4 linked regions of the Oryctolagus cuniculus genome follow. The protein of the gene in region 3 interacts with the protein of the main gene of each other region in a pairwise test. Links are inferred from orthologs where the notes say so. Each region holds a gene or a part of one and is shown on either strand. Other genes may lie near its edges.

Region 1 (8,092 bases), on a different chromosome or scaffold from region 3:
ACACAGGGGTTGGTGTGGCCAGGCAGGAGCTGAGTCACTGCTGCCTGCAATGCCTGCATCCCAAATCAGAGTGCCGGTTCCAGTCCTGGCTGCTTCGCTCCCGACTCAGTTCGCTGCTAATGCGCCTGGGAAAGTAACAGAAGATGGTCCCGGTGCTTGGGGCCCTGCACCCGTGTTGGGAGATCCAGGTGGAACTCCTGGCTCCCGGCTTCGGCCTGGCCCGGTGTTGGCCATTGCAGCCATTTGGGGAGCAAACCAGTGGATGGAAGCGCTCTCTTTCTCACCCTTTTCCCATGGCTCTGCCTTTCAAATAAATCAATCTTAAAACAAACAAACAAACAAAAAAAAGCCTCTGTACACTCTGCTCTCAGAGTGTGCGATGAGCACTGCCCCGCCCTCAGGCCTGCCCCCTGTGCCACCCAGGCTGTCCTCCCAGACACGGCCAGCCTGCAGTCCCCATTTAGGACCCAGAGCCACTCAGTGAACGCCAAACCCTTTTCCCTGGTGATTTGTGACGGCACCTCGGACACAGATGGGGTTTCAGTGAGTATGTGTGTGCGTGTATGTGAAGAGTGTGAGACTGTGTAAGCTTCTGTGTACACATGTGTGGGGGTGTACACACGTGTGGGGGCTATATGTGGGGGGATGTATTCATGTGTGTATATGTGTGTGGGGTGTGTTGCGTGGGGGATGTATTGTGGGGAGCAGCTCGGACTAGACTAAGTTACTGGAATTAAGACTTATTCTATGCATCTGCTCTCCTCTGTGGGGAGCAGCTCGGACTAGACTGTTACTGGAATTAAGACTTATTCTATGCATCTGCTCTCCTACAATATGGCGCTGGGAGAGGAGAAAACAGCTTCTACCCAGCTGCCTTCAGTTCAACCAATAAACTGTAGGACTTGCTCCTGATTGGAGAGCAGCGTACTCGGCGTGTGGGCAGCCGAGTTAGGATTGGCGGAGGAGGACTATAAAGGAGGAGAGAGACGGCATGCACCTGGAACATCTAAGGGGAACACCTGTGCAGCCCCCAGAGAGCCGGCCGGCGGTGTGCCGCTCCCCTGCGGAAGTGGGGAATGTGGCCAGGGGGAACTGCCCTTCCACGGAGGTGGAAGGGATAGTAGCCAACCCGGGAAGAACCAGCAGCAAACCCGGGGAGGGCCGAGCAGACGAAAGAACAGCGCAGGGTCCTGTGTCGTTCCTCCACGAAGAGGGGGAGCGACATAATGGTGCCGTGACTCGGATATGAAGCCTAGGCAGGGTTCAGTGTCGCTCCTCCATGAAGAGGGGGAGCGACATAATGGTGCCGTGACTCGGATATGAAGCCTAGGCAGGGTTCAGTGTTGCTCCTCCACGAAGAGGGGGAGCGACAATGTATGTGTGTGTATGTGTGTGGGATGTGCATAAATGTGTGGAGGTGGAGGTGTGTATGGGGAGGATGTATTTGTGTGTGGGGGTGTATGTATGTGCGTGGGTGTATATATGTAATGCGTATGGGGGATGTATTCGTGTGTGTATACATGTGCATGGGGGATATATACATGTGTGGGGGTGTATATGTGTATGTGGTGTATGTATTTGTGTGTGTATACGTGTGTGGGGGGGGTGATTGTGTGTAGGAGGATGGGGGAGTGTTTATCCTTGGCCTACATAGTATCTAACTTAACCCTCACACTAGCCCTATAGAGCAGGTACTTTTATTACCCCGGTTTTACAATAGAAAAATGGGAGGCTCAGAGAGGTACAGCAACTTGCTCAAGTCACACAGCTGGTAAGCTGGTAAGTGGCAGAGCCATGTGGCCACCCCACACCGGCATGCAATACCACCTCTCGTGCTTGCCCGCGCCTCTTATTTCTTCGGTGCTGTCCTATGCCACTGTTTGATATCAACACAGTTGGGTCTGGGGAGAAAGTCACAGGGAAGACCCCCCAGCTCCTCCCCCACCCCCAGGCGACACTCACATTGTTGGCTTCCCGGACCAGCCTCTGTTCGTTGTACAGAATGTGCCGGATGCAGCGGACCAGCTCCATGGGGCAGCGGTCGTACGTGTTCTGGGAGAATCCAAGAGCATCTGCCCTCAGTTCCAGCCATACCGGCCCCGGGCCAGGCTCACCCTTCCTCTGCTTCAGCCCCTGCCTGGGCTTCTCCCAGGAAGCCTCAGAAACCATCATCAGATGTCTCTGTCTCTGTTACTCAGGGCCCCTCCCCCATCTTCACACTGGGTCTGCAGTGAACTCAACGCCCGCCGTCCACACAGCACTTCCACTCTCCCAGCGTGGAAACCCCTTATCCCTGCGTCGCCCAGGGGAACACGGATGCCCAGAGAGGTCACGTGCTTGTCCAGAGGCGAACGAGTTCAGGGGCAGGTGACTCGAGCCTCACACATCCGATACGAGGCCGAGGGCCTTGCCGCCATACTCCTGCCCCTCGGTTCCTATTTTGCTTCCCCTCGGGTTTCTCCCGACTCCTCCCTCTTGGAGAAGGACTTTTTGGTGCCCGGTCCCCGCTGCCTGTGGTTGAGAAGGGCTTGACCGTGATCACCACCCACACCCCTTTCCTGCTTCATACAAACTCCGCGCTTCCTCTGTACCCCCGCCCCGCCATGCCACCCCACGGAAAGGAGAAACCCCACTTCACACAGCTCTTCCATCCTCCTCCTCCCCACTCCAGCTTCAGCAGAGTCCCAACGGGCACGCAGCCACTCATCTCTAGAGTGCCCCAACCTTCCTTCCTCCAAGAAAAGAATCCTGCCTCAGTCTACCTCCATGCCACCTGCTTTAATCCGTCCACCATGCTGGCTCGCCCACCTCCCTCTGTCGGGAACAAAAACCCCCACCCCCACCTCATCCAGTACTTTCTGGAAGGTTAAAGGAATCCGGCAGGTCTGACTTAGAAAGAGGGGGTGGGGGAAATTGAAGAAAAGTTGCCCAGGAGCTCATGGTCATGCGGTGAGTCAGTGGCCAGACCAGGAAAAAAACCCCGGGGGGTTCTGCTTCCTCCCTGTAGGTGGCCCAGCGTTCACACCCACCTGGAGCTGGGTGGCGTAGTGGCCCAGCTTGATCTTCAGTAAAAACCCATCTTCCCCCACCTGATGCTCCGCCTTCTTCTGCAGCTCTTGCACCAGGCCCTCCAGGAGCTGGGCGGCCTGGGCTCGGTCCTGGGGGCTGTCCAGGTCGATGGCATCCCTTGGGGCAGGGCGGGGGACAGAAATCCACTGTGGCAACTCCTCGAGCCAGGAGCTCAGGCACCACGTGACGCGAGCCCACGAGACTTGCTGCCCGCACCTCCACAGGCACAGGAGGCTGCACGCAGCCTCTGTCCCCTCCAGACGCCCGTTTCCCTGTTCCCCTTTCCCAGGGACACCGCCCCTTCCACACAGAGGAGGGCAGGGAGGACCAGCGTGGCACCGAAGCACACGGAGGAGATCTCCAAGCCAGGGGGTTAGGACCCCGCAGGGGGAGGCCCGGGCAAGGGGCACCTACCACGGCTGGCTCTCGATCCACTGTGCCAGGTAGTGCCGGACCTCGATGGGGAAGTGCTGGCCATAGAGCACCTGCATCTGGCGCAGCGCGTCTCCCTGCAGCTGCTGGGCCTGAATCCAGCCCGCCATGGCCGCTCGCCTAGAACCAGGAGACCACTCAAGAGCCTTCTCCTCCACAGAGGCCGGCCGGGCCTGCCCCTGGCCCTACCGTGCCCACCTGTCCCTGGGCTGCAGTCGGGGCCAGGCCCCGCTCCTCCCACTAGCAGGCTTTCCTGTGCGGAAAGAGAGATGGTGGGGAGGAGAGGGCTGCCCCTCCTCTCCAACAAGGAACCCAATGAGGCTGGGGGCGGGAGGAGGGGGGTCCCCGAGAGAGGCAAGTGCCCTTCCTCTTCCTCTCCCCTAGCCCCATGGGAAACTGAAAGAGAAACTTGACGGCCGAGGCCCACCGCCCTCTGCAGGGTCTGCACGAATACCCCCCACCAGCCGCGCACCCAGACACCCCATTTCAGGGAGCAGGGGATGTTTCAAGCCAAAGTCAAGGCGAGGCAGCTTGGGCTGCCACCCTACGGTTGGCGCCCTGGGGCACATGGCTGGACTTGAGCAGAAAGAGCTGGAACGACACAGGCTCCCCTCCCGGGGCGCCCCGCAGCCGCGCTCTGCCATCACCCTGGTCGCGCCCGACGGCGCCCCCTCCCCCGAGCGTGAGGACGACGGCCGCCTCCCTTCCTCCTTGTCCCTCGTCCCTCGACCCCCGACCCCCGTGAGCACCACGCATTGCGCCCAAACTGGCTTTCGGCGCCGGGGGCCGGTCCCCGTCCCGCCCGCGGCCGTCGGGCTCCGAGGCGCCCGGGCCCCGCCGCGCGGCACCCACCTGGTGGGGCCGAGCTGTGAGGCGGCGGGGCCGGCTGTGCGCCCCGCGGCTCTCGCTCGCGGCCCGGGCTCCCGGCGGCGGCGGCGGCGGCGGCTGTTACTACAGGAAGGAGCCGAGAGCAGCGATTTCCTCCTCAAAGGTCAGCTGCCTGCGATAGACCAAACACAGCGCGCGGGCGCTCGCCAACACCCTCCCCGCCGCTGGCGCGGCCTCCCAGCCTCCGCCCTCGGCCGCCGGCTCCCGGCGAGTGCGCAGCAGCGGCGCGGCGGGGTGGCGCCGGACGTGGGGGCTGCCCCGACGGCGGGACCCCCAGGGAGTCCCAGACAGCGTGTGCCTGCGACTCGCGGGAGTGTCCCGGGACTGTAGCCGGCGACAGGCTCAGGGCCGGGAAATCCCAAGCTCTGGAAATCCCAGACCAAGGCCTCGGTTTTCTCATCTGTGAAAGGGGAGGAGGGAAGGACGGGCGAGCTGGAGATGCCTCCCCACTCTGGCGTGTGCCATCTTTTGAGCCTATGGGAGGTGGAGAGGCTGAGAGAGAGAGAGACTGAGAGATGATGTGGGTTGCCACAGCTTTTGTGATCTCAGACGTGAAGTCCTAGGGAGGGAAAGGACTGTGTAGGGGGGATTCCAGAGAAGCCAAGCTCACCGCTGCGCTCCCTCCCACTACTCCCACCACAAGGCTGGCCAGGAAAGAACCTTGGCAGTGGGTTTGCTTCAGTTCTGCAGGTGAATGCAATTCTGGGGGGTTGGGGGGAGCAGGGGAGGGGTTTGCCAGTCAGCCCACCGTGACCCATGGACCCACCGGGCCCGGCATTCACCCCAACTGGATCACATCTGAGGCTGGCCCTACCTCCAGAGAGATCTGGGGAGGGCCTGTTTTAAATCCTTGGAGCCTTACAGCTGCCTGTGGGCCTTGCCACAGCTGAGACATCCTCCTTAGAGCCATGGCGGGATTCACAGTGCCCCTCCCCGAGCGTCCCCACACACAAGGCCCCAGGGGTTGGGTAAGGCCGGCCTGGACGCCTTCCAGCCCCTTTGCCCGGTTTCGCTCTCCCTGGGGCCTCCCCTCAGCCTGGCAGCTGGTACTGGCAGCACTCAAGGAGGGGCCAGCCTGGCTGCCCACTCTTAGCTCAGCAGGGCCATGATCTGGTGGCCTGGGGCAGTTCCCATCTGCCTCCGCCCTCCCCATCCCTCTTGGATCTGCCCTTTCCTCTCCATCCCCTGCTTCCACTCCCCCTTCCTGCACCCCACTACCTCCCCCAGTTTCATTCTTTTCAGTTCAGAGAAAATGTGAAGTTTTTCTGCAGAAGTTAGAATGTCTGGGCTCTCCCCGTCTTCCACGTGTGGTCAAAGCGTCTTCGTTGGCAGAATCACAAGGAAAGGAATTGAAAACTGAGCGGGTGCCTGAAGGATTAAGGGAAACCTTGCTTCCCAGTTGTTCCACAGGGGGGCCCTGGGGACTAGGGCGCAGGAGTCCACTCCTCCCCTCCTGCTCTGCACAGTGGATTTTGCAGGGGAAGGTCCTTACCTGCGATGAGAGTCAGGGGGTAGAGCTAGAAGTGACCACGAAGATGATTGTACAAAGGGGAAACAAAGGAACAAAGGCCACAGAGGGAAAGTGAACTTGACCAGTAGCACGCAGCCTGTCAAGGGCAGATTCAAACCCACTGGCACCTGTGCCCTCCAGCCTTGCCCTGCAAGTGGATGGGAACAGAGTCCTTGGGTTTCCAAGTCCTCTGAGCTGGGGCCGGAGCACTCACATCTGGGCACCTAGGAAGGGGGATTGTGGGAACCCCGCCTGGGCCCTTCCAGGCAGCCGCCCCTCCCGACTCCTCCCGCAGGGCCTGCAAGGGCCTGCTGCTCCAGCTGGCAGCCCCACCTACCAAACATCTGGCTGGGTTGGGCTTGGCTAGGGTGTGGGAGGCCCAGGTCCCGAAAAGCTAGCATTGAGGTGCCAGCAAACAGAACTGGAGGGGTTGCCCTAAAAGGGCATGAATCCGTGTCTGCAGAGCCCTGGGGTGCCCCCAGCCTCTGCTTGCATGCAGTGCCCAGCCGGCCTCTCCCCTCGCTCCTCATTAGGTCTGTTGGGCCCCACAGCCCCTTATCACTCGTTGACTGCTGCCCCCCACCCGTTGCTCTGTTGCTCTCTGGTTTTCTGTCCTCCCTTTGAGGTGCAGCGGGGAGGGAAGGAGCTCTGGATTTTTCCCAGGATAGGCAGAAGCTGCCCCATGAGTGGAGGTGTGAAGGGTGTCAGAGTTGGGTTGGGGGCAGAGGTGACTGTGGTCGGGGCTCTGGATAACACAAGTACCCGGAAATGTCAAATTTGGGGTTTCTTTTTGCTTTCAGTCCCCTGGTTTGGTCTCTGCTATTTCCCACCACAAAGCACCTAGTGGTTTTAGGGGACCAGGCTATAGAAGAGAGAAAACTGAGGCCTAGGGGAGAGGGTTCTGGGAGACCAGAAGCTGTCTATGGTCTGGACTGAGCCGGGGTCCTCTGCTGGCTTCCTTGCCCTTCACCCCTAATTCCGAGTTGCATCATTAGGTGGGGAGGGGGAAGAGTTCTTTTAAAACCTCACATGAGGGGCCAGTGCTGTGGCATGGGCTCCGGTTCTAGTCCCAGCTGCCCCACTTCCTAGCCAACTCTCTGCTATGGCCTGGGAGAACAGTGGAGGATGGCCCAGGTCCTTGGGTACCTGCACCTGTGTGGGAGACCTAGAAGAGGCTCCTGGCTTTGGATGGGCGCAGCGCTGGCCGTTGCAGCCCTCTGTGCATTCCCTAATAAGAACGACCATATTTTACAGAGTGCAGTCCACAGCACAGGCTGTGGTTAGGTCAGCATCCTGAGCCAGATCATGGCGCATTCGTGTACGAACAGGGTTGTGCTGTCCAACTCCACCGATGCTTGCCTCGGAGGCAGGTAGGGCCGGGCTTGTCACCTTTGGTTAGTCAAGGAAGGAGGCCTGCCCAAGCTTCTGTCCAGTAAGTACACAGCTGCCGCTGGGAGCCCAGTTGCCCAGCCCCACAGTCTTAATGCAGCCTTTCCAGACTTATCCCCAGAACACTCCTGCAGAGTGAAGAGGTCTCCCTCAGCTGGGCGGGCCCACAATTGCTCCCCAGTACGGAGCGTGGCACCCCTGCTCCCCACAACAGCCCGTGCCCTGCCCTGTTGATGGAGGCAGTATGGCCTATGTGTGACGGGAAGGTGTGTTCCACCTGGTGGAGGAAGGGAAGAATGATCCCATGTCCCCTTTCTCCCTTGCCCGTGGAGACCAGGTTAGCCAAGAAGGTCCTGCCAATGCCTGTAGGCTTGGGAGAGCAGCCTGAGGTCACCTTGACCTGACCAGCCCAGGAGGTGGGGGAGGGGTACAGAGATGCCTTTGTTTCTTGTGCTCCAAGTGCCTTCTTCAAGGAGAGTTCCTGTGGCGTGAGAGCCAGAGGGGAGGTGGGAGCCAGGTAGCGCCTGCCTAGAAAGCTGGGGGTATTACAGGAAGTAGCTCTGTGCCCTGGCGTGGGCAAGGGAGAGCTGGAGCCCTGGGGCCCTTAAACATCCTGCTTGGCCCCCACTGGCCTCCGTTCAGATCTCCCCCCTCCACACCAGCCCCCACCCCTAGAAGTGGGCCCCTGCCCATGCTCAGTGTCTACCCTACCACTGCTATGGTCCCCTCGCCCTAGCGTACCCCTGCAGGGGTGCTGCCCCCATCCTTGGCCAGGAAGACACAGCCTGCAGAGATGGTGTGTGA
Region 2 (6,973 bases), on a different chromosome or scaffold from region 3:
TATTTACTTGAAAAGGCAGAGTTACAGAGGACAGCGAGAGGTCTTCCATCTGCGCGTTCACTCCCCAAATGGCTGCAACGGCAGGAGATGGGCCAATCCGAAGCCAGGAGCCAGGAGCTTTTTCTGGGTCTGCTACACGGGTGCAGGGGCCCAAGCACTTGGGCCATCTTCCACTGCTTCCTGGGCCATCAGCAGGGAGCTGGATAGAACTGGAGCAGCCCAGTTGGGATGCCGGCGTGGCAGGTGGAGGCTCAACCCACCACGCCACAGTGACAGGGCTGGCATCACTCCCGAGAGGCCCCGACTGCCTGACCTTACACCTTACGCAGTTTCCAAATTTTTACATAAAATGAAGCAAGGGGGAGCAAAAAGAAGCAGAATGAAGAATTCATTGTACGTTTATTATTCACAGTTAATCACTACCTACCAAGTGCCACCCGCAGAGTTACAGGATTACGTACATAGGTCTTTTTAGTTAAACACGGATTTGTTTTTAAATATATACACACAAAACTTAGTTCAGCAAGGCTTCATGATATACACCAACTCCAAAATAAAACAATCAGACGGTCCAGGTGTGGACGCCAGGTGTTCCTTTGATCAGCAACGCGGGAGGGAGGGCGGGAGCAGTCGGACGGGAGCCAGGAGAGGCGTGAACATGCTCTGTCCACAGGAGCAGCGGCCTCCAGGCCTCCGGGACCCGCAGGCTGAGTCTGTTTCCACACCACAGTCTGGGGAGATGCCACTGAAGGGTCACAGAGGCCCAAGGCCACCAGCACTCCCAGGGAGGGAAAGCAGCAGCCTCGTCCGTGTCCTGGGGAGGAAAAGCCCACGAGCCCAAACGACAAGGGACGGAGAGCTGACACGGAGAGCTTAGAGGGGCTCCAGCCTCTGTCTTCCCAGCGCCCCCCCCCCCCCCCCCCGGGTGGGGATGGTGCTGGGGGCCGGCCTGCTGCGAACGGGACAAGGAACAGTGTGTCCCAGCTTTTGCACACTGCCCTGCTGCTCACCTGGACAGGTGAGGGGACACAAAAGGTGAGAGCCATGACCTAATGTCAGGAGCAAGAAAAACACAAATACTCTCCTTCTGCAACCTAACGCAGGCCCACAGTCCCACCTGCCGCAGCTCAAGAACAGCAGCCTAACAGCACTTCCTCCACTGGCTCTCCTGTGTCTGAGACTTGCTGGCTCCAGGGGTCTGAGCGGGGGTCTCTGGGGTCGGCAGGGTAGACAATACCCGGACCACAAGGCAAGGACTCAGATCCAGCCAGACGCCGTAGAGCTGCAGCCGGCCCTTCCCCGGCACACCAGGGCCGGCGGCTCCCTCAGACCCTGGCCTTCTGGCTTGGTACGGGTAGAACGCCCCCCTCCCCGCCTTCCGCTGTCTCCTCCCTCTACCCTGCTTTCCCCTCCCCTGAGGGAAAAGGATTTACAGAGAGTGGGAGACGAACCGGCTGGAAGGCCAATTTGGACTGTCTTTAATTTATCTGAAAACAAAACAAGTAAGACACATCCCTCCTAAGCAACCCGGGACATGGGGAAAGGCACCATGGGAAACAGCAATGCTCAGGGACGCCGCTCCCACGTGGAGCCAGCGACGGAGGCTTTCAGTCCGACTTTCTCAGGAAGCCGAGGGGCAGGTGACACGCCTCCCTCCCACCCCCGACAGAACAGCCCCAGGCTGGGCCCGCGGACGCCACCCTGACCCGGCAGAAGCTGCCCGCCTGCTCCTTTCTGTGTGCACGCACGGAGAACACAGCAGTAGTTGTTCCAACTAAACAGACATTTTGCATAGAGAAGATACCAGCGCACGTGGTTTCTTTTCTTTTATTATTGGCATCAGCTAGGACTATACGTGGCCTTACACGTCATGCACTGAAGAACGGGAGAAAAAGGACGAGAAAAAGGACAAAGGCGGGGCAAAGGAGCAGCGGTGAAAATCTGTAATAAAAACTCTTTTCTTAATAGGTAAGTTTTGGCATTTTTATATCCAATGCCCCCTCCCACCCCCCGAAGTTCCAACCCAGGTCAGAGAGTCACGGGCGTGAGGTGACCCAGCCAGGTGTCCGGGCTCCTGCAAGGCTGCTGGGAGAGGCAGCCCGGGGCTGTCATTCTTTCGTGTTTTCAACTTTTCACGGCTTTAAATAACCTCCCCTTGATTCTTAGACATTCCGGTTCACGGGGGTGACGTAATTGCGGGGGAACATGCCGGTCTGCCCGTGGCAAGCCCCCTTCCACCAGTTGGGGTCAGAGTTATCCATGACATGGATGAAATCTCCCCGGCGGAACCCCAGCTCTCCGTCCTCCTGGGGGTCAAAGTCAAAGAGGGCCTGGACGTACGTCGGCTGCTGCAAAAGAGGAGCAGGGAAAACACGCGTGTGACACCCCGAGCCTGGAGTCCTTCCTGCGCTGGGCACCCACGCTCGGGGGCTGCACTCCCCAGGGCGTGTCAGCAGCATAGTCAGCACCCCTGGGAGTCTGGGCTCCTGCACAGCCCAGGATCCAACACCTCTGAGCTCCTGTCGCTGCCAACACCCTCGAGGGTTTGCAGTCAAAACATCTGGATGAGCTTGAAAACATAAGGTGGTGGACTCAGCTGGGCCGCCAGGGACAGGCGCACAGGTGCGAGCACAGGCCCCAACCCTCCCTACAGGACACCCCTCACAGTTTTCTTCCCGGGACAGAATAGCTGACAGACAGGTGGTGAGCGAGCCACACACCTGACTGCAAACCGCAGGCCTCTGTGTGAGCTAAGGGTGATGTCCTGAGCACGGGGGCTGGAAGTGACCCTCTGAAAGGCACCTGCTCCTAACCGCTGGAGGTGAGCCCGACTCTGCCCCAGCCTTACCTGCGGCACCTGCTCTATGTCCCGCAGGAATATCTGCTGGTTTCTGGAGACAGACGTCGACCTGTGGTAATCCACCAGCTCATTCAAGGAGTTGAACTTCACCACCCAGAGGAAATACTTCCCCGCTCCGTCTCGGAGCACCTTGAAGTGCTGCACGTCATTTCCAAACCTGGGGGTGGGGCAGAGAACACAGCACGTGGGTCAAAGGGCTCTGGCCTGGCCCATGAGGCCCTCTGCCAAACAGGAGGGGTCCAGAGAAAGCCACTGTCTGGCAACGCTCCTCACAGCCTGCGGGCCGGTTGGCTACACGCCACTGAGCCTGGCTGGAGAGGGTGGGACGGCCGCTGAGCGTGCCGAGACCCTCACCGTGACTGACGGTCACCCGCAACAACACAAAGAGCCCTCACGGGACAGGCCAGGCCCCACTCGGTCTAATTCTACAGGCATTTATGGGATGGAGAATGAGGCCGGCGCTGCAGCACACTGCGCAGAGGCGCTGCCCGTGGCACCAGCATCCCATGCGGGTGTCAGTTCAAGCCCCAGATGCTCCATTTCTGACCCAGCTCCCTGCTAATGCAACTGGGAAAGCAGCAGAAGATGGTCCGATATCTGGGGCCCCTGCCGCCGTGTGGGAGACCTGGAAGAGGATCCTGGCTTCAGACCCGCCTAGTCCTCGTCATTGCGGCCATGTGGGGAGGTAACCAGAGCATGGAAGACCCCCCCCACCCGCCGCCGCCCCTACCGCTCTCTGTCTTTATCTCCTCTGTCTCTGCAACTCTGCCCTTCATGTAAATTACCTTTAAAAAAAAAAGGAATGTCCCAACCCATGCTGTGCCCTGCACTGTACCAACTACATCAGCCTCACTTAAGACAAGGAATATACCTTAATTAACTACGCTTCAAGCAAAAATAATTAAAATCTCAAAGGTGGGATAGAAAATAAGGTGAGGAAGCAGATACGCTCAACAAAGCTCCAGGTACCAGAAATACTCCAGTCATTTCCCACTTGGGGATTTGAGTTCTACTCACGGGATAAAGGCCGTGGGGGGAAAAAGGATGTACTGGGACAGCAAAAGAGGCCCAGGCACCAAAGTCCCCACACCCTCCATCGCCAGAAAATCCACTCCCCTTAATGCTGGCCAGCAACACAGAGCTGCCAGTGACACCTGCTGTCCCGTTCCCTGCTGAATCCTCCAAGGACTCAGTGAGCACGTGTTCCTCAAAGCCCTCCTTTGGGTCGGTATTGCGCCATAACAGGTAAAGCCCTCGCCTGCAATGCTGGCATTCCATACGAGCGACGGTCAAGTCTGGATGCTAATGGCGTAGGAAAAGCAGCAGACGAAGGCCCCAGTGCTTGGGTCCCTGCCACCCACGTGGCAGACTGGGAGGAAGCTCCCGGTTTCAGCCTGGCTTAGTGCTGGCCATTGCAGCCGATTTCTCTTTTTCTCTGCAACTCTTTCAAATAAGTAAATAGATAATTTTAACGTCAAAGGCCCTCCTTCAGTATTAAAGCCTAAAGAAGCCAACACTTTCCAAAAACAGCCAGCAGGTGGCAGGACTGGGCTTCAAGGAAGCCGGAGTGCAGGATACCAAGTGGGGTTGGGGGAAGACAATCCAGTGGCCCTGGCATTCCCTCCCCCACTATCCATAGTGTGGTTTGTGTGTGTGTGTGTGTGTGCTGCGGGGGGTTCTAAGACCCCCAGTGGATGCGTGAGACGGTGGATAGTACCAAACTGCATATATACTGCTTTCTCTTGCAAACACCACACACACACACACACACACACTTCTATGATAAAGTTAAATTAGTAAGTTAGGTATAGTAAACTAACAATACACAAGACAATTGTAACAACCAACAACCACAAAAAAATAAAAGTCATTTAAAATCTGAACTGTTTGTTCCTGGAATGTCCCGATCAGTATTTTTAGACCACAGTCACTTGTGGACCGTGAAGCCGCGGATGGGGGTGGCTGCTGTACTGCTTTCTCACACACCCACACACAACACACAACACACACACACACGGGGGAGAGAGGAGGGGGAGGGGTGTGTGTGGGGGGGTGCAGTGCTAGTGAGAGGGCTTCTGGAAGAAGGGCCTGTCCTGCACCTCTGGCCCTGGGGACTCGCTGGCGGTGGACGCGGTCAGTTTCTTAGGTGCGTAAGGTCCCGGGTGAGCACTCTGCCAACTACAAGGGCTCGAATCACTGACTCAAAACATCTTAAAAACCAGAGAAACACTGCTGAGGCTGTTGATTCTTGAGCCTCCTTGGTGACACATTTTCTGTTGTCACAGGCAGTCTCACACTTTATTTCTCAGACAATGAATAGAGAATTTGATAAAAGGGAGTGCTGCGGGTTTTGGTGTCTGTGGCAGGAGTGTCCCACACTGAGTGCCCGGAGGTGCTGGCCACCAGCCAATGACCAACTGCTTGTATTCCTAGTCGCACGTTTACTTTATACTCAGTCAGCATAAAACACAAGGGACCGAGATGCACACAGATGATGACCCCACCGCCCTCCCCTCCCCGGGCCACGCTCTGCAGCAGAACTTCACTTGCGATGTTCAATCAAGCCCTTCAAGGAGTCCTTACTGGACAGGCCTTTGGTTAAGAAGCCTGCACAAACATCAGTGTCTGAGCCCCAGCTCTGCTCCGACTCCAGCCTCCTGCTCACGCAGATCCTGGGAGGCAGCGGAGGCGGCTCACTCACAGGAGCCCCTGTCACCCACGTGAGACCTGGATGGAGTCTGGGATCCTGGCTTCAGCTTGGCCCAGCCCCAGCTGTTGCAGGCATTTGGGGAGTGAACCAGAAGGGGGGATCTCTTTTGGTCTCTGTCTTTCAAATAAAATGGAAAACAATCAAACAAACAAATACCCACAATCATGGGTCCTAATTCACATTTTAAAAAAGACACATCTCTATATTTAAATCTGCTGTTAAAAAAAAAATCTATACTTTAACCACACATTAATCTTAAACCAAAATACTAAGTTCTCTTTTAAAGTCTCGTGCTTTATATCATTTGTAAATTATTCTCTTACCCTCATGTTAAAAATAATTTTAGGGGCCAGCGCTGTGGCGAAGCGGGTGAAGTTGCCACCTGCAGTGCCACCATCTCATATGGGCGCCGGGTTGAGGCCCGGCTGCTCCACTTCTGATCCAGCTCTCTGCTGTGGCCTGGGAAAGCAGTACAACATGGCCCAACTCCTTGGGCCTCTGCCCCCATGTGGGAAGACCCAGAGGAAGCTCCTGGCTCCTGGCTTTGGATCAGTGCAGCTCTGGCCATTGCGGCCAATTGATGAGTGAACCAGCGACGGAAGACCCCTCTCTCTCTCCTTCTCTCTGTGTAACTCTTTCAAATAAATAAAATAAATCTTTAAAAATTATAAAAATAACTTTAATGTAATCTATAATAAAACGGCAATCTGAGCTTTAACCTAATTTAACCTAATTACCCATATACATGTGTTTATGTGTATAAACACTAAAGTGATTTGTAAAATTTCCGAGGGAGGGTTTCCTATGATAATTTATTAATCAGAACAGGACTGAAAGCAAAAAAAACAAAAGCAAAGAAAAAAACCCACATGGAAATGAGAACTCAAAATCTTCTCCACTCCTGCTTGCTAGCTCCTTACCACAAATCTACCACCTGGGACGGCTCCCCCCAAATCCTCCCCAGCACCTTGTTAGTTACAGGGAGGTCCAGGACGGGACTGGTCATCTGAGCACTGAGTCCACTGCAGGAACCCCCGGCGGATGCCCATGGAGGGACGCTGCCTGCCTCAGTCCTGGAGACGGCTCCCCCGGGGCTCCATCCAGGGCAGCAAGCCCGGACCATCAGGGTTTCAAAATAAAATGAAAATGCTGTCCAGGCTGGTTGGACCCCCGGCAGTCTGCGTGGCCAGACACCGACGCTGGCTGCACGATTCCCGTCAGCGGCAGCCGGCTTCCCGGCAGCGGGGCAGGAAACACTCACTTGACGGAGAGGGAGAAATCGCCGGGCGCGCTCTCGCTCTCGCGGATGAGAAAGGCCCCGTCATGCCGCTGTTTGCTGAGCATTTCTTCTGCCTTGGCTCTGGGTATTTTGCCAAAAAACCACCTAGAGAAAGAAGGCAAGG
Region 3 (7,408 bases):
GGCTGTCTGGACTTGTATGCTGGCCTAGGCACCGAGTAATCCTGGTGTGTGTTGAACCCTCACGCAGTTGAATGATATTATTAAGAACATCTGAGTACTTAGCCCATAGAAGGAGAAGGACTATCATTAGTGTTATTACTTCCTGCAGCTTAGTCAAGAGTATTATTAACAATTTCTTTTTGAAAAAGTAATTTCCAGAGAATGCTAACCACTGAACCTGAAAAAATGAGGGTATAACTAACCCAGTGGTTGCAGCAAGTGCATCTACCTTAAGGAAAGGAACTTTTCAACATCAAAGTCCAAGCTCACAGCCCTAATGGTAACGAAATCACACTAACTGCAACTTTCAGGACCCAAGAGGGGAGGGAGAGACTTACTCTTTTTCTTCGACTGGCCAGGAGCTGGAGATGACTGGGGGGCGGAAGTACTTGGCTGGTCGTCATCTTCTTTGATTTCGGTTTTTAACTCAGTGCCTCTCTCTTCTGTTTCTGGAGGCTCCACTTTACAGTCCTCAGCTTTGCTCTAAAAACGTGTGGCAGATATTTTTAGTATTCCAAAGGTATCCAATTGGGGAGCAGTAAGATCACTGTCATCACATCCTTTATTCGCCCCATGGACCTATCTTAACAACCTTTCTCACATGAAATCAATGCACCGAGACCTAATTATCAAAATGCTTTTCTCAAACACTGATTTTTAAAACTTAGGCTCCCCAGCTGGGGTCCTATGCAAACCCTGGGAGCAGCGGCCCTGTCCTCACCTCTGGGACATCCTCTGGTGGAACAGCTGCTGGTTCTGGCTGGTCCACCTCCATCTTAGCCTCCACCTTTACTTCCTGTGCAGGCTGCTTCTCAGGGACAGCCTGAGCGTTCACCTCTGCACTGCTCGTGCTGGGAGGGTTTGACGCTTGCCCTTCAATGCTCACAGTCGGCTGGGAAAGCTGGGCAGAAACAGGGAAACAGGACAGATTTGCCAACAACATATTCAGAATAAACCACATACTGGGGGACTAGTGTCATTTCTCTCTGTACACTGCACCTTCCTTAATTATACTTGAGGACTTTTCAATACTGGCCAGCCAGCTGAGACCGAAGCCGCCAGCGATGGTTTCGTTAGTCATCATCAATTCTGGGCAGTGTGTGAGCAGAGGAAATGTCACAGGTGCTTCTCTCCGAGAAGCTCCTATTTAAAGAGACATGGAAACTAAAAGAACATAAGAATGACAAGCTGTCTCGTTTGCTCTTCAATCTGTCCTTGCAGAAAAGCAGAGGACAAATATGCTGAACTCCTCTACAGAGTTGGTACTCTCAATCATTACACTGTGACAGGGTTACTGGCAATCCACATCTATTCCCTGCATCTTCCAGCAAGAAACTACATAGCAAGGCAGTGTTTTCTGGAGCAATCCCATAAATAACAAAATAACTGGGCTTCAGACTCCTCTCTGCAGGCTGCCATTCCTTGTGGATCAGAGGGGCCCACAGCTAGATGTGACTTGGTCTCTCTGTGAACAAACTAAAAGATCAGTTTCGGGGCCAGCACTGTGATTTAGAGTGAGTAAAGCTGCTGCTAGGATGCTGGCATCCCATAGGAGCACCAGTTCGAGACTCCCCTGCTCCCCTTCTGATCCACCTCCCTGCTAATGTGCCTGGACAAGCAGAATATGATCCACGTGCTTGGGCCCCTGCACCCACATGGGAGACCTGAAAGCAGCTCCTGGTTTCTGGCTTTGGCCTGGCTCAGCCCTGGCTGTTACAGCCATATGGAGAGAACCAGCAGATGGAAGATCTCTCTAACATTGCCTTTCAAATAAATAAAATAAATCTCAAAAAAATATATAGCATCAACGATCAAGGTAGAAAGAACATCCTAGCCTGTTAACAATACACAGGTTCAATTTTTAAGGATTCAACTACTAGACAGGAATTTAGATTTTTACTCTACACATAATCAGCCTCTCACAAGGAAGCTGTAGAGATTTAGGTCTGTATTTCTTGTCTCTTTACCATGACTTTGTTAACCTTTGTTAGGGCCAGAGATTCAATCTTTGAGTACTGAACCTTAAAACGTTAGAAAAGGGTTTTTAAATATATGTTAAATTCAGGAGGTACACTAACTGTCACACTAAGGAAGCAAGAGGGGCCTCTTACCTCTTGCTATGCTCTATGCTTTTAGGCCCCAGAATACTACATGGCATACAATAATGAAAGACCTAAACAAAATCTTTGAGTTCCTACTACGTTAAGTACTATCGAAGGCAGTAAGAGTAGGGGGGGCAATGTTCTTAATCAAACATTCCATTCCACTTATGGAGACAACAGTAAGAGATGAATCATGGAATCAAAAATGGCACAAAAGTAACACAATATTACATTAGCGCTGAAACCGTTCCACTGAAATGCAAACCTCCGCTTACCGGAGTGGCGGGCTGCGGAGGCAGCAGTGGCACCGTCGGGGTGGGGACCGAGGCTGCTGTACTCTGCTGAGAGCGGGGCTGCTGGGGCTGGTCGGCTGGAGGAGCAGCAGGGAGCGACGGCTGCACTTGGGGAGGCAGCTGTGTTGTGGGCGGAGTAGGTGTCTGTCTCGGAGGAGGGTGCAGAGCCTGGGGCTGTGGCCCGGCCGGCATGGCAGGAGGTGTAGGGACAGGGGCTGGGATCCCTGCTGCTGGTGGCTGCTGGGCCCCTATGCTTGGAGGAGTGTGGTGAGGGGTCGGGGTACGACTAGGTACAGGAGATGGTGAATTCTGATGCAGAGGGGGTTGTGCCAGAGGGGGACAGTGCATGTGGCTTCCTTGAGATCCTGGAGGCATTATAGGCGAGTTTACTGGGCAGGAAGAACCAGATATTTGTGCCTGTTAAAATGAAGTCATTAAGATGATAATTCAAACAGAATGAAGGAAAATTTACATAGGCAGATAGGCATTTAGGACACAAACTAATTAAATGTAAAATAACAACACAGGGTTAAAACCCTCAAATTTAAATTATGTGTTACTTTTTTAACAAAGCCATTGTTATACACATAATTATCTCTTCATATCCAGAATACCCTAAATCCAAAAGTGTTCATATTTTTAAACATCACCCACTATTTGCTGCCACTCTTCCGGGCAAAAACCTAACAGAAGATTCACAAATCCCCTCCCCCTCCCCCATCCCCATAAGGGCAAAGGTCCCCTTGTGAGACATACTTGAGACACTGGTACTTGACCGCTGGGTGGAGCCAAAGGCATATTTGCTACATTCATTCCCTGTGATGAGAACTGAGACTGTGGAAGAAACTGGCTCTGGCTGGTAGGCGGCTGCATGCGAGGCCCATAGCCCATAGGCTGCAAAAAAACACAAAGTACCAAACTGCTTCATTACGATTCTTCTATCACAATTGGAATCATCCATTAATTTGGCCCTGCTGTCAGGTTGACTGGGCAGAGAAAGAGAAGAAAGGAAAACAGGTAAAGGGAGGGGCAGGGAGAGAGAGGAGAAAAGTGGTGAAGAACTGACTTTTACGCCTAGACCATGGGGATGGTCTCATGTCATGGCTTCTCTAAGTTACAGGAGGATGGGGACACACAGCGCTCTATCTGGAACTAACAGGAAAAGAGCTAGCCATTTCTTTGAACACTCTAAGTTAAGTGAAGGACCAAAGCACAACATCCTGGGCTCTTTGCTCACTGTAAGTGGCATGGCAACAGTAAAAATTTTCAGATTCCATGTGTGGGAAAAGAAAAGTAAAACCCTTACAGGACGTGGCTGAATCTAGCACCATTCATGGCCCACAATTGCTCTTGGATTGTTTCCTTTAACAGATGATGGAAATCTGGATTACCAAAAGCAAAAATCTCAACCAGTTAAAGAAATGCATCTGCCTTATAGATTAACATGAGAACTAGGATTCCTTGCTGAATGTTGCCAGCTGTGAAAAGTATCAATGCTGCAAAACCCTAAAAAGGCTCAAGAAACAGAGGTGCCAGGTAACTAGCAGGACAGGGTGAGGGCTGGGCCAATGTCGGTTAAGAGTCCGGGTATGCTCAGCATCTCCACTTCAGTCTCTAGAACCAGGCAATGGCTCCCCCATTGCTCTTATCAAAGATCCACAGTTCACTGCCTGGAAGAGAAGGTAATTATTATGGAGGAGAGGTAAACTGAAAAAAAGTGGGGAGGCTACTGGACATGCGGACTCCAAAGAGAGGGTACTGGCTGCTTTTTGTCAACTTTCTAATGCTATGATTTTTACAACTATGAATAGTATTTGCTTGGATGTGAGCCTTTTTTAGTGTTTATTTTACACAGACTGACTTGTTTGTAATCAAGACACTCTACTCTTCTTCACATGAACTTCCATCACATTATATCCTCGCACACTGTAACACCCTTTCCTCAGACTGCATCACCAAGTCCCTTAGTAATTATTTCTGTGGGATTTCTAACTATTGTTAAGTGAAAGAGATAAGCAGAAGAGATTTCAGCATTTGTTTCCCATTAGTAATAATTATTCCTGTCACTCCACCTCTTTAACATAATGCAACTATTTAGTCTCATCTCTGAAATACATATAATCATCTATATTAAGGGCAAAATACAACAATTAAAATGTAACAACAAGCTCTTGTATTTTGTGTCTAGGCAAGTATGAGAAGTTTTGTTCTTGAAGCAAAAACAAGAATTTTTAGAAAACCCCTATAAAATCCAAACAGATTACATAAAGAAATCAAACCAACCGGGTTTAGAGCTCCAGGCTGAGCCAACTGTCCATGGTGCTGAAGTGGAGAGGTTTGCCGGGGTCCAATAGGGGGCTGGGGCATACTCATCTGGCCAAATTGATTCAAACCTATGAATACATGCAGAGTATAAAATCTCAGCACCCTTCTGGAGAATAAGAGGCACTATTCCTCTATCTGGTCACCATTTATCAAAACTAGTAACTCATTCTTCCCGGTTATAAAATTTACCAGATGGTGGTGTTATCCGAGGCATCATCTGGTTTGGCACACTGCCGCGGATCATAGTTGGGTCAGGGAGAGGACCATCTAGGGCAGAAAAGAGAAATAAATTAAGGAAGTCCCTGCATTGGCTGCCCTTTACTGGAAAACAAAATATGGGCAGGTGTTTTGTGTAGTAGTTTAGATGCCACTTGGGGAACCGGTGTTGCGGCGTAGTGAGTAAAGCCGCCACCTGTGACACTGACATCCCATATAGGCACTGGTTTGAGATCTGGCTGCTCCACTTCCAATTCAGCTCCCTGCTAATGCACCTGGGAGGGCAGTGGAAGAGGGCCCAAGTGCTTAGACCCCTGTACCTACATGACAGACCTAGACCGAATCTATGCATTTAAGGGAACAAACCAGCATTTACACTCACACCAATAGCACAGTCCATCCAGCGTGAAGTTTCTGCACAGTCTCCAACAACCATTTCATCCTTCAGCCTGAGGATGTGTCTGTTCGATTCTTTCCCTGTATTTCTCCTGTTTGATTCATGTTCTCTCTGCTCTGCCACTTTTCAAGTCATAGATTAAGGTGATCACTAAGGAAGTATGTGAGCCTCTGTTGCACACTGGACCCTAGTCAGCCTACATCCATCTACTGGCTGCTTTCTACACAGACGGTGTTAGAGACAACTAGGGAAAATCTACGTGCAACCCCTTCCTACGTGTCACTATCAGGCATGTCTACAGTGGGCTGTGTAAGTAGTGCTTACTCTTTAAGGCAGAGGATGACCTGTTTTCTTTGCAAAGACAAAAGGCCTTTCAAAAACCCTATTAACAGTTAACACAACTTTGTACAAATTGATGGATTTGGTTAGAAATCACTTCATTATCAATTTCTCCCCAACATAAATATAACAAAAAGCACTTACTAGAAGTCATTCCTGGTTGTGGCTGTCCCATGTTAGGCCCTGGATTCATAGAAACTGGCACCATGCCTGCATTTGGAAGCATGTTCTGTTTCTGTAATCTAGTCCTTCGTTTTTCTTCTAATTCTTTTTGTATCTTATAGATCTTCTCAGCTAGAAGGTGGTAGTATTCCGCCTTTTTGGATTTTTGAAATAACAGATAAGGACAAAACATGAATTACCACCAGAAAACAGAAAAACTAAATCAAAGGCAGATATTAGTTTCATTTAAACAATAGGTAGAAACTAAAAATGGGAAGAAATTAATCCATTTTCCAAATATGAGCTCATATTTATAGAATAATCAAGTGATCATCAGTTTTACTAGGAACCTACACATTAAAATGAGACCTCTTTCAAAGCAGGTTTTATAAAACATATGTTGTCAATTTACAGAACATGGAAAGAACATGTTACATTTTGAAGTAATGCCAATTTAGAAAAGAAAGTTAAAATGATGTACAGAAACTAAAATATTCTTTATGTACTATATTCGAGTGAAAACAGCACCGGGCTGGTAACAACAGCTCTGCTACTTTCTGATTTGACGGAAGGACAACCCAGATGAAGTGCCATAGAACTGCACTGAAGTAAGGGGAAAAACCCAAGGTTTTTGATAACAATCACCTAAGAAACTGCTAACTATACGCAGAGACAGTGAGAGAGGACAGCTGGAAAATGCTGCTTACATGTGCTAGGGATGAAGAGTAACCATGAGGGGTAATTAAGTATCTAAAGCAGACCCATTCCTGACCATCAACATGTAAAGAACAACCAGATGCTCACTCGATTATTTGCAGATTCGTACATGTCCCCTTCTACCTTCCGAGCATATGCCACCAGGTTTTCCATCCGTCTGTCCTTTAAAGCAGCAGGATCCGGAGTGGGAAATATGGCTTGAACTCTAGGAATGGAAAATGCAACCACTGTAATACAATGCCAGCTTCACATTCAATCATAGAAATGTATACTACTTTAAACGATTTCTCAATTAGTGTTTTCCCAATTCTACACACTGGATACAATGAGTACAAGAAAAGTAACAGAGGGTGACAAGTCAACACCAAAAATGAAAACTGTCTTCTTGTGATAAAGGATTTTCCTGATCACAATCTAAAAAGTAACTCCATGAAGATATTCTTTGGTCCCTGTTACTCTAGATGTATAGAAAAAATTATTCTGTGCTACATAAATTTATTCAACTTTTAAAAGTAACAACTAAGCCTCCAAAAATTTTCTTAAAGACTTATTTTACTTACTGGAAAACAGAACGACAAAAACAGAGGGAGAGACAGAAGTCTTCCATTCTCTGGTACACACACCAAAGGGCCACAAATAGGACTGTGCCAGGCTGAAGCCAGGCGCTCCATCCGGGTCTCCCACATAGGTGGCAGGGACCCAAGTACTTGAAGCGTCTCCGCTGCTTTCCAAGGCGCATTAGCAGGGAACTGAATAGGAAGCAGAGAAGCCAGCAGCTGGGACCTGAATCAGTATTCTGATTGGCGATGTCAGTGTTG
Region 4 (8,189 bases), about 3.5 Mb from region 3:
CCAAACTTAGTTACCAATAAAATCGTTTCTACCGCAACCACCGCTTTCCCAACACCATTGCAATGGCGGCCCCAGTGGTGCCCAGTGGGGACACCTGCCCAGGCCTCAGAAGAACCGCTCTTGCCCCAAGGAAGCCACAGAAGCTGGAGGTGTGGGAGCCCTGTCGCTAAGGGACGGGGGTAAGCTGCCAGCTACAAAAGCAGGGCAAGTGGGGCAGAAGTGACCAAGACACACCCTCCCCCGGCGAGGCGGACCCAGGGTGGAAAGCCGGGCCCACGAGGAGCCCCAAGGCAGGGCAGCACTCAGCCATGGCTCCACGCGCAGGTCTGAGTGCAGGCAGATTCACCAAGCCCGGACTTCAGCAGACGCCCTGCGGAGGAGGGGCAGACGGTGGCATGGGGACACAGGCAAAATGTGCCACCACCAAATCCTCACGTTCAAAACCAACTGGAAGCACTCGGCACGGTTTGGGTGCGATTGGCGGGGGACTCGACAAGTTTTGGGTATGTCTGAGGGCAAGAGTGTGAAAGGTCACAGAATGGCCAGGGCGGAGGAACCGGGCGGGTGGACCTGGCTGGGCGAGGGAGGCAGGCGATGGAGCAGGTCTGCGTCCCCACGACACCTGCAGCGTGTGCAGGAACTCCATTTTCTGGGGGAGAAAATAACGGTTTGAGGAAGTGCACGGAGGCCTCCCGCCGGGCTGGAACAGCAAAGGGGCTAAAACCCAGAGCTCGCCACTCACGTCCTAACAATGCCTAGCCCCAAACTGCCTCCTCTTGCCCACACCAGACCTTTCTTTTTTTTTATTTTTTATTTTTTTGACTGGCAGAGTGGACAGTGAGAGAGAGAGACAGAGAGAAAGGTCTTCCTTTTTCCGTTGGTTCACCCTCCAGTGGCTGCTGTGGCCAGCGCACTGCGGCTGGTGCACCGCGCTGATCCAAAGCCAGGAGCCAGGTGCTTCCTCCTGGTCTCCCATGGGGTGCAGGGCCCAAGCACCTGGGCCATCCTCCACTGCACTCCCGGGCCACAGCAGAGAGCTGGACTGGAAGAGGGGCAACCGGGACAGAATCCGGCGCCCCGACCGGGACTAGAACCCAGTGTGCCGGCGCCGCAGGTGGAGGATTAGCCTAGTGAGCTGCGGTGCTGGCCCCCACACCAGACCTTTCAAAGACCTCATCCTATACCATCCAATCAAATGCAGCTCAACTACCAAGATCACCACACCAGGGCACCCCCGGCCAGCGCAAGGGCTGCACGAGCTCCTCTTCCAAGTCCCAGAACGTGGCCACACGTGGGGCAGAAGTAGAGGACACACTGCCAGCCTGGGGGACTGCCTGTTGGCCATGGAACAGACTGGATTATCCAGCGCACGGCGCAGCTCAGGGCAGGCCAACGACTCTGACACGTGGAGGAGACAAGTTCTTTCCGATCCGCCACCTCTGCTACTTAGTCCTCACTTCAAGCCTTCCTCTCACCAAACTGGAAAATCAGATTCTGAGCTGGGGTTTCCCCAGCCACGCGGCCTGCAAGGTGACCTCGCTCCCCTACGTAACTAATAAGGCTGAAGGGACAGATGCCATGCCTTGTGAAACACTGACTCCATCCCAAGCCACGGAAACCAGAAAGCGCAACAGAGACCCTCACATTCCAAGAGAGCAGCCTCAGGCCACTTGCACTAACTGCAGGGCCACACCCTTAGCATGCCGTGAAGCTAAGACCCCAGCCACCTGGAAGCGAAGCCACGCATCCCATTTGCCATGAAGAATTTCCCCACTCACACACAGTCTATGAAAGGCAAAAGAGAAAAATTGGCATGTTCAAACTTTGTTTTCAACAAAGAAACATTGTGATTAATGTGTTTTTAAAAGGATTATTATAAATCCATGTATATATATATGTATGTATACACACACACGTATACATATACATATATATAAAACACAGGCGCTTACGGGCAGCAGGCAAGAGAAAGGGCCCAGGTCACCAACCGCCAACCCAACGCACAAAGCAGCCCTGCCAAAATGTCCCCTCCCTGCCCACCTGCCCCTCACCCTGACCAAGGGTGACAATCTGTGAGCTTTTGTCTATACTCTAGTATGGAACCCAGTTTCACCAGAGGTCCGCGGGGGTCTCGTTCAACACTGGGCACAGTAGCCCACAGCAGCCACTCCGGAAGTAGCTATATGATGAGCCGATTTTAAAAGTCTGTGGAAAGCGGAATTAAAAGTTCACTTTACAAAAAGAAAAGTCTGAAATCTGTGCATATGAAAGGCTTTCCAAGAGTGCGTGGAAAATGCCCATTATGAGCAAACCACGCACACGTTTCACATCTTCTCAGTTTCGGCTTTCCACAAACTTTCTGAAGTAGCCTTGTCTCTACAGGGACCGGCTAAATAATTATTGTATCTAAATGTAATGGAGTATTAGACAAATGCAGGCGCATTTCATTCACCTGGAAGCTGCGTCCGGGGATGAAGCAGCCACAAAGTATTTGCCAAGAAACACAGTTTCTCCTTGTCTCTCACACCTTGTCTCTCACACGCACGCACGCAAGGGGCTGCTTTATGATGCTGGTGGACCTTGGTCAGGCGTGTCAGACTTGAGCAAACAGAAAACCTCCTCCTCCACCGTCAGTTCCCGTGCTTCTGCTCCCAGTCCTGGAGACCGCTGCGGGTGGGCAGCGACCACGCACACCCTCCCACACCGGGCCTGCGGCTCTGGAGCTGACCCCGACCCCCAGGTCACCTGCAGTCTCCCCACACGACAACAGCCCTTCCCCAGCGCCCGCTGAGTAGCACTGCTTCTCAGAGTCACCGCATCTCCCTATGAATCACAGGAAAGCAGCCAGCCAAACCCACATCAGAACTCCCCAACTCAGAACCCAGAAGCAAACCTATCCCGGGGTCTCCTGGGACACAGGGAAAAGACATGAAAGCTTTGCATCACAAAGAAACCATTAACCCCCAAACTTACTGCAGTGGAAACAGACCCTTCCATACCTCACCCTGGAGACTGAAATCAAACTCTGTTTACCTTCGGTGACACCGCCTTGCTTCTGAGCTTGTCACTTCTCCCAGAGGCAGGGCCCGGGACTCCAGCCCTGGCTGAGGAGGGACAGGACGAGACGGTTACAATGTGTTCCCTGGATGCCCCCCAGCCTCCGGCCCTTGCAAGGGGAAAGTCACGGTGACCCTGCCTTCGCCCAGGGTCGTTCTCAGTGAAGCCCCGTGCTCCTCCTCCCTACCAGCCAGCAGCCCTGCGAGCGGGGGCGGGGCGGGGGGCGCCCTGATTCCCTTGGGAATGGGGGTGGCAGGGGTCGCGGTGCCTGTGCAGACCCAGCCGGCCGAGAGCGCTCCACCTACTGCCCAGTCCTGGAGTTTTCTTAGAAAGAACCCTGACATTTGGGGCACATCTCTTCAACTTTTTTTTAAACAGGGGTTTGGGTAACGTGGGGGCGTGCCATGGTCCCCCCACCAACCAGGGTGGGCGCTGGGTAGAGCCGACCCCCCCTTCCCAACCTTGCACCCGCTCCAGCGGGCCAGGCCGGACCGGTCCCGAGGAGCCGCGGGAGGCCGGGGACAGGAAAGACACCTCGCAGCCCAGCGGAACCTGCCGGGGAACCCGCGGCTGCCCACGGCGCCCGGCGCACAGGGGCCCAGGCGCGCGACAGCAACCGCGCGCGCGTGTCCCCGTCGGGCTGCAGGACGGCGCGCACCGGCGCCGAGAGTCTGTCCGGGACACGAGTTACCTAGCCTCGGGGGTCCCTGGGGGTCTCGAAAACGCCCCCAGCTCTGTGACACTCGAACTCCACAGCGCACCGACGTCCCCGCCGCGGGCCTGGCCTCCCAGGGGACACCGAAGGACCCAGCGTCAGGAGGTCTCCGGCTCCGCCGACAGCCTCGGGCGCTTGGAGGGGCACCGAGCGAGAGCGGCCCCTGGTCCCGGGACCCTACTCGGGTCCCCGGCGAGTGCCCTCGCCCCGCGCCCCCGGGCCATGCGCATGCGCCGCCCGGCCCCTCCCGTCCGCGTCCGCCGCCCTCTCGGCCCGGGGCAGCAGAGGCCCGGCCCGGCCCGCGCCGCGGACCCCGCTCGCGCCGCCCACCCCCGGCACCTGGGCCCGCGGTCCGCCGCCTGCTGGTCCGCGGGGCGAGCGCCGAGGGAGGCGGCGCCAGGCCGGGCGCTAGCGGCCGCCTCCGCCCCGCCGCCCCTTGCCCGCGCCGTGGGGCCGCCGCGTCCCGGCCCTGCCCGGCGCCGCCTCCGCCCGCCCGTGCCAGCCGCGCCCCGCCCGCGCCACGCGCCGCCCCTCGGCGCGCCCCGCCCGGTCCGGCCGCGCGGGACCGACCCGGAAGCCCCGCCCCGGGCCCCGGCCGCGGCCCCGCGCGGGACGCACCCACCGGACGGCGGCGCCCGATTGGCCGCCGGCGGGGGCGGGGCCGGGACAGCCCTCGCGACTCCCACTGCGCGCCCCGCAGCCGCGGAGCTGGGGGAAACTGAGGCCCGGGAGGCAAAGGGACTGCCCAAGGTCGCCCCGCGGATGGCTGGCGTGGGGGGCGGGGAAGGGGAGGCGAGGGTCCCGCCGGGCGCCCGTGCCGCGCTGGCGAGGCCCTGAGCGCTCGCGGAACTCGGCTCCGCACGGCGCGACGAGGGGGTCTTGGCCAGGGCCCGGGGACCGGTGCCTAGGGTCTCGGGAGTCCGTGGGGTGCGGGGCGGGAGGACGGGGAAGGGCGTTCCGAGAGCCCCAGGACGCGTCAGCAGGTGGCGGAGGTGCCAGGCCGTGGGCACGAGTGTGAAGGGCAACGGGGACAGGGCGGGGAGGCGCCGCCAGCTCCGACCCCCGCCCCGGCTGCCGGTTCCCTGGGGGTGAGAGAGGACTTTGTGCCCAGCGAGGCGCGCGGGCCCTGCCAGCGCACTGGGAGGTCGCGGCCCCGCAGCCAGTGGCGAGGCTGAGGGGACAGCGCGCAGAGCCGCTCCGGGTGCGCAGCGCCCGGCGCCCCTTGCCGCGGGAACGAAACTTGTGCAATGTCCGCCCAGCGCCGCGGCGGCGGGCTCCCGGGGTGACCTCGTAAGTGAGCGGGCGCGGCTTCCACCCAGGTCACCGCGCCGCGCAGGGGCTGCAGACCCTGGCCTTGGGGCCATTTCGCAAGCTTCTTGGAAAGTCACTCCTGTCGGTTAGCTGGGACTGCTGTGAACTCTGCCCCACCCCCTGGACACCCACGCTCGATCGGGCCTGCCCAACTCTACCTGCGCACGCCGGCCAGCAAATGCCAGTCTGTGCGCCTTCCAGAGCCGGGCTGAACACAGACCCTGGTAGCTCCCCGGTGGACCCAAGCTGTGTTGGTTACCCAGCAGCAGGTGGGCTTCCTGCCCTCGGTGGGCCACATCCTGGCCGCGTGGGTGTTTCCTGGCTCACCCCAGGGCGCAGAGTCTCAAGACAGGGGTGTGTGTGTGTGTGTGTGTGTGTCCTGGTGGTCGCCCTGCACCCAGTGCCACCAAGTGGTGGGAGAGACCTGGCAAGAATTATGGATGCCTGCAAAGGACATACGGGCTTCAATCTCCCAGGTGCGCACTCCACAGATGTAGAAAGTGATATTCTTGGGTTCTCGGGGTTCCCAAAGCTTTAGGAGAGAAAACTTGTTTGTGAACCATGCGTTGGGAGATGTCACTTCTCTTATTAAGATTTATTTTATTTATTTGAAAGAGTTGCAGAGAGCTCAAGATAGATATCTTCCATCCACTGGTTGACTCCCTAAATGGCCGCAACATCAGAGGCTGGGCCGAAGCCAGGAGTCGGGGGCTTTCTCCGGGTCTCCCACATGGGTGCAGGAGCCCAAGCAGTTGGGCCATCTTCACTGCCTTCCCAGGCGCATTAGCAGGGAGCTGGATTGGAAGTGGAGCAACCAGGATTCGAACCGGCGCCCATATGGGATGCCAGCACTTTGGTGGTAGATATGCCACTTTTGAACCAAGGCTCTCGGCCAACCTCCGCCGGCGTCCTGAAGGTAGAGGGAAGCTGGGGACTTTTCTCGTGGAGTGTCCCGGCCAGACAAAGCTCTGGCCCTGCTTCCTGCGGGGGTCACTTCCGGGATGCCCCCACCCCCTTCAGAATCAGCCTTTTGTGTGCAGCCAGGAGCTTGTCACTTGTCACACCCCCAGCATGGGGGTGACCTGTCACACAGGGCAGCGCTGCGGCCCGAGCCCCTGGAGTCGGCCCGTCCCTCTGTCTTTGCCTCCACCAGCGTTGACCGGACGTGGACAGCACATAACGCCGCCCGCGTGGGGACTGAGTACAAATCTACAGCATCGGGGGCAACCAGTGCTTTGGAGAATGTCTCTGGGCACCGCCCAGGCTCCTCTCTGGAGGGCTCGGGGTGCGTGACTCCGACTTCATGGCTTCCATGCCGTCTCGGGTCCCTTGCCACGTCTCCCACTCTGAAGATGTCCCCAGAGGTGGGTTTTAACCTGCTCACGTTACAGTAAGGAGACTGTCGAGAGAGAGGCCCCAGCTGACCGGTCCTGTGGGCCAGCTTCAGGCCCCGGGACAGAAGGCAGGTCTGAGAGGCCCTCAGCTGCCCTGCTGAGACGCTCCTGCACCCCAGAGCTGCCCACCCAGCCAGAGCAGCTGTGGGCTCCGGGAGAGAAGCAGGAAGTTGGGCCATGCAGACGAGGAGCGGGGAGCTGCAGTGATGGGGCCTGCTGCTCCGTACCAGCAGCAGGTGGAGTGAGGCGTCCGAGTTCAGAGAGAGCGCGAGGGCTCCATCTGCTCGAGTGAAGTGTGCCCCGCGGGCCAGGGGTCCTGGCTGCCGGCTGATTACCCTGTCACTTAGGTAAGCACTTTTCCAGGAACTGCCCCGGGCCTCCGAGGGTCACTGGATTGCCCTTTGCTGATCTGCAGAGCCTCCTGTCCAGTTGGAGTTTGTGCAGCCAGTGTCATGGGTCGGGGCAGTGGCCTCTGGTCACTTGGAAGTGTGCCCTCAGGTCGGGGTGGGGGGTCTCCTAACAGTGACCAGTAGGTGCTTGGTGGCTGGGCCTGGACTCAGCCGCCGGCCTAGTACTGATGGAAACCTCCCGGGGCCAGGTGGCCAGTGATCATCCCGTTAAGGCTTGGACCTCAGCTGGGTTTGCCTCCGTCTTGCAGGAGAGGAAACCAGTGTCCAGGATGGACAACACCTCACAAGGGGACAGAGAACTCCGTCTACAGTGCCTGCCCCTGGGGCGCCTGTGCATGGCTCAGCCTCTGGCAGAACCAGAGTCCCACGGCGAGGCAGCATGTGCAGAAGCTGTAGCAGGAGGCAGGGTGGACTGGCGGGGTGGACTGGCAGGGTGGACTGGCAGGGTGGACTGGCGGGGTGGGGCTTGCGGCCTGGTGGAGAGGCTGGCTCAGTATGACGGGTTTTTTAAGATTTTATTTATTTGAGAGTTACAGACAGTGAGAGAGAGACAGAGACAGAGAGAAAGGTCTTCCTTCCATTGGTTCACTCCCCGAATGGCCGCAATGGCTGGAGCTGAGCTGATCTGAAGCCAGGAGCCAGGAGCTTCTTCTGGGTCTCCCGTGTTGGCACAGGGGCCCAAGGACTTGCGCCATCTTCCACTGTTTTCCCAGGCCGTGGCAGAGAGCTGGATGGGAAGTGGAGCAGCCGAGACTCGAACCGGTGCCCATATGGGATGTCGGCGCTGCAGGCGGAGGATTAACCTACTGCGTCACGGTGCTGGCCCCAGTATGAAGGGTTTTAAGCCAGGGCCTGACCCCATCAGCTTGGTAACACAGAAGTCACGCGTGTTAACCAGTGGTTGTCACCCGGGTGAAACTACGCACTCTTGGTGTGCAGGACCCAGAACCTTCTGCGGGCCCAGAAACTGCTGCCGTCACGGAGGCTCCTCCCCCTTCATGAATAACCCTCAGCTCAACGTGGACCAGCAGCCAACTCACCTTCCTGAGGAGGTCGGGGCCCAGCCACAGCGACACGGCCTTCCTGCCCCTCCCGGGAGACGAGCCCTGCTGGGGGTGGACACTGCTCCATGCCAGCCGGCTTAGGCTCCAGGGGCCGCTTCAGTCCCGAGCGCGCGGCCAGGGCCTCGGGGATCTCACCACACCGTGTCATGTGAGCACATTTGCTCCACAAAAGACGTTCTGCTCTGTGGAAACCAGCTCTGCAGTGACCCCTGCAGCCCCGGGGGCCGACGGCGGGGTG

What was found.
Region 1: the proteins of EP300 (region 3) and signal transducer and activator of transcription 5A interact in a two-hybrid assay, tested with the Homo sapiens proteins (2 studies listed by BioGRID and IntAct). The link is inferred for Oryctolagus cuniculus from reciprocal best matches to the Homo sapiens genes EP300 and STAT5A.
Region 2: the proteins of EP300 (region 3) and GRB2 interact in a two-hybrid assay, tested with the Homo sapiens proteins (2 studies listed by BioGRID and IntAct). The link is inferred for Oryctolagus cuniculus from reciprocal best matches to the Homo sapiens genes EP300 and GRB2.
Region 4: the proteins of EP300 (region 3) and PPARA interact in a two-hybrid assay, tested with the Homo sapiens proteins (3 studies listed by BioGRID). The link is inferred for Oryctolagus cuniculus from reciprocal best matches to the Homo sapiens genes EP300 and PPARA.

Annotation. Positions count from the first base shown.
Region 1 is NC_091448.1:20,520,374-20,528,465, forward strand, and holds the start of signal transducer and activator of transcription 5A, read right to left. Parts: upstream 4,452-8,092; 5' UTR 4,354-4,451; intron 3,622-4,353; 5' UTR 3,612-3,621; coding exon 3,484-3,611; intron 3,187-3,483; coding exon 3,030-3,186; intron 2,053-3,029; coding exon 1,963-2,052; intron 1-1,962. UniProt on the Homo sapiens protein: Carries out a dual function: signal transduction and activation of transcription. Mediates cellular responses to the cytokine KITLG/SCF and other growth factors. Mediates cellular responses to ERBB4.
Region 2 is NC_091448.1:5,228,069-5,235,041, reverse strand, and holds the end of GRB2 (growth factor receptor-bound protein 2), read right to left. Parts: intron 6,955-6,973; coding exon 6,832-6,954; intron 3,018-6,831; coding exon 2,849-3,017; intron 2,349-2,848; coding exon 2,163-2,348; 3' UTR 1,814-2,162; downstream 1-1,813. UniProt on the Homo sapiens protein: Non-enzymatic adapter protein that plays a pivotal role in precisely regulated signaling cascades from cell surface receptors to cellular responses, including signaling transduction and gene expression.
Region 3 is NC_091442.1:117,218,093-117,225,500, reverse strand, and holds part of EP300 (histone acetyltransferase p300), read right to left. Parts: intron 6,796-7,408; coding exon 6,678-6,795; intron 6,028-6,677; coding exon 5,856-6,027; intron 5,027-5,855; coding exon 4,949-5,026; intron 4,828-4,948; coding exon 4,718-4,827; intron 3,329-4,717; coding exon 3,191-3,328; intron 2,852-3,190; coding exon 2,417-2,851; intron 941-2,416; coding exon 761-940; intron 523-760; coding exon 378-522; intron 1-377. UniProt on the Homo sapiens protein: Functions as a histone acetyltransferase and regulates transcription via chromatin remodeling. Acetylates all four core histones in nucleosomes. Histone acetylation gives an epigenetic tag for transcriptional activation.
Region 4 is NC_091442.1:120,672,724-120,680,912, reverse strand, and holds the start of PPARA (peroxisome proliferator-activated receptor alpha), read right to left. Parts: upstream 4,267-8,189; 5' UTR 4,112-4,266; intron 4,104-4,111; exon of another isoform or gene 3,749-4,103; intron 3,105-3,748; 5' UTR 3,034-3,104; exon of another isoform or gene 3,000-3,033; intron 1-2,999. UniProt on the Homo sapiens protein: Ligand-activated transcription factor. Key regulator of lipid metabolism. Activated by the endogenous ligand 1-palmitoyl-2-oleoyl-sn-glycerol-3-phosphocholine (16:0/18:1-GPC). Activated by oleylethanolamide, a naturally occurring lipid that regulates satiety.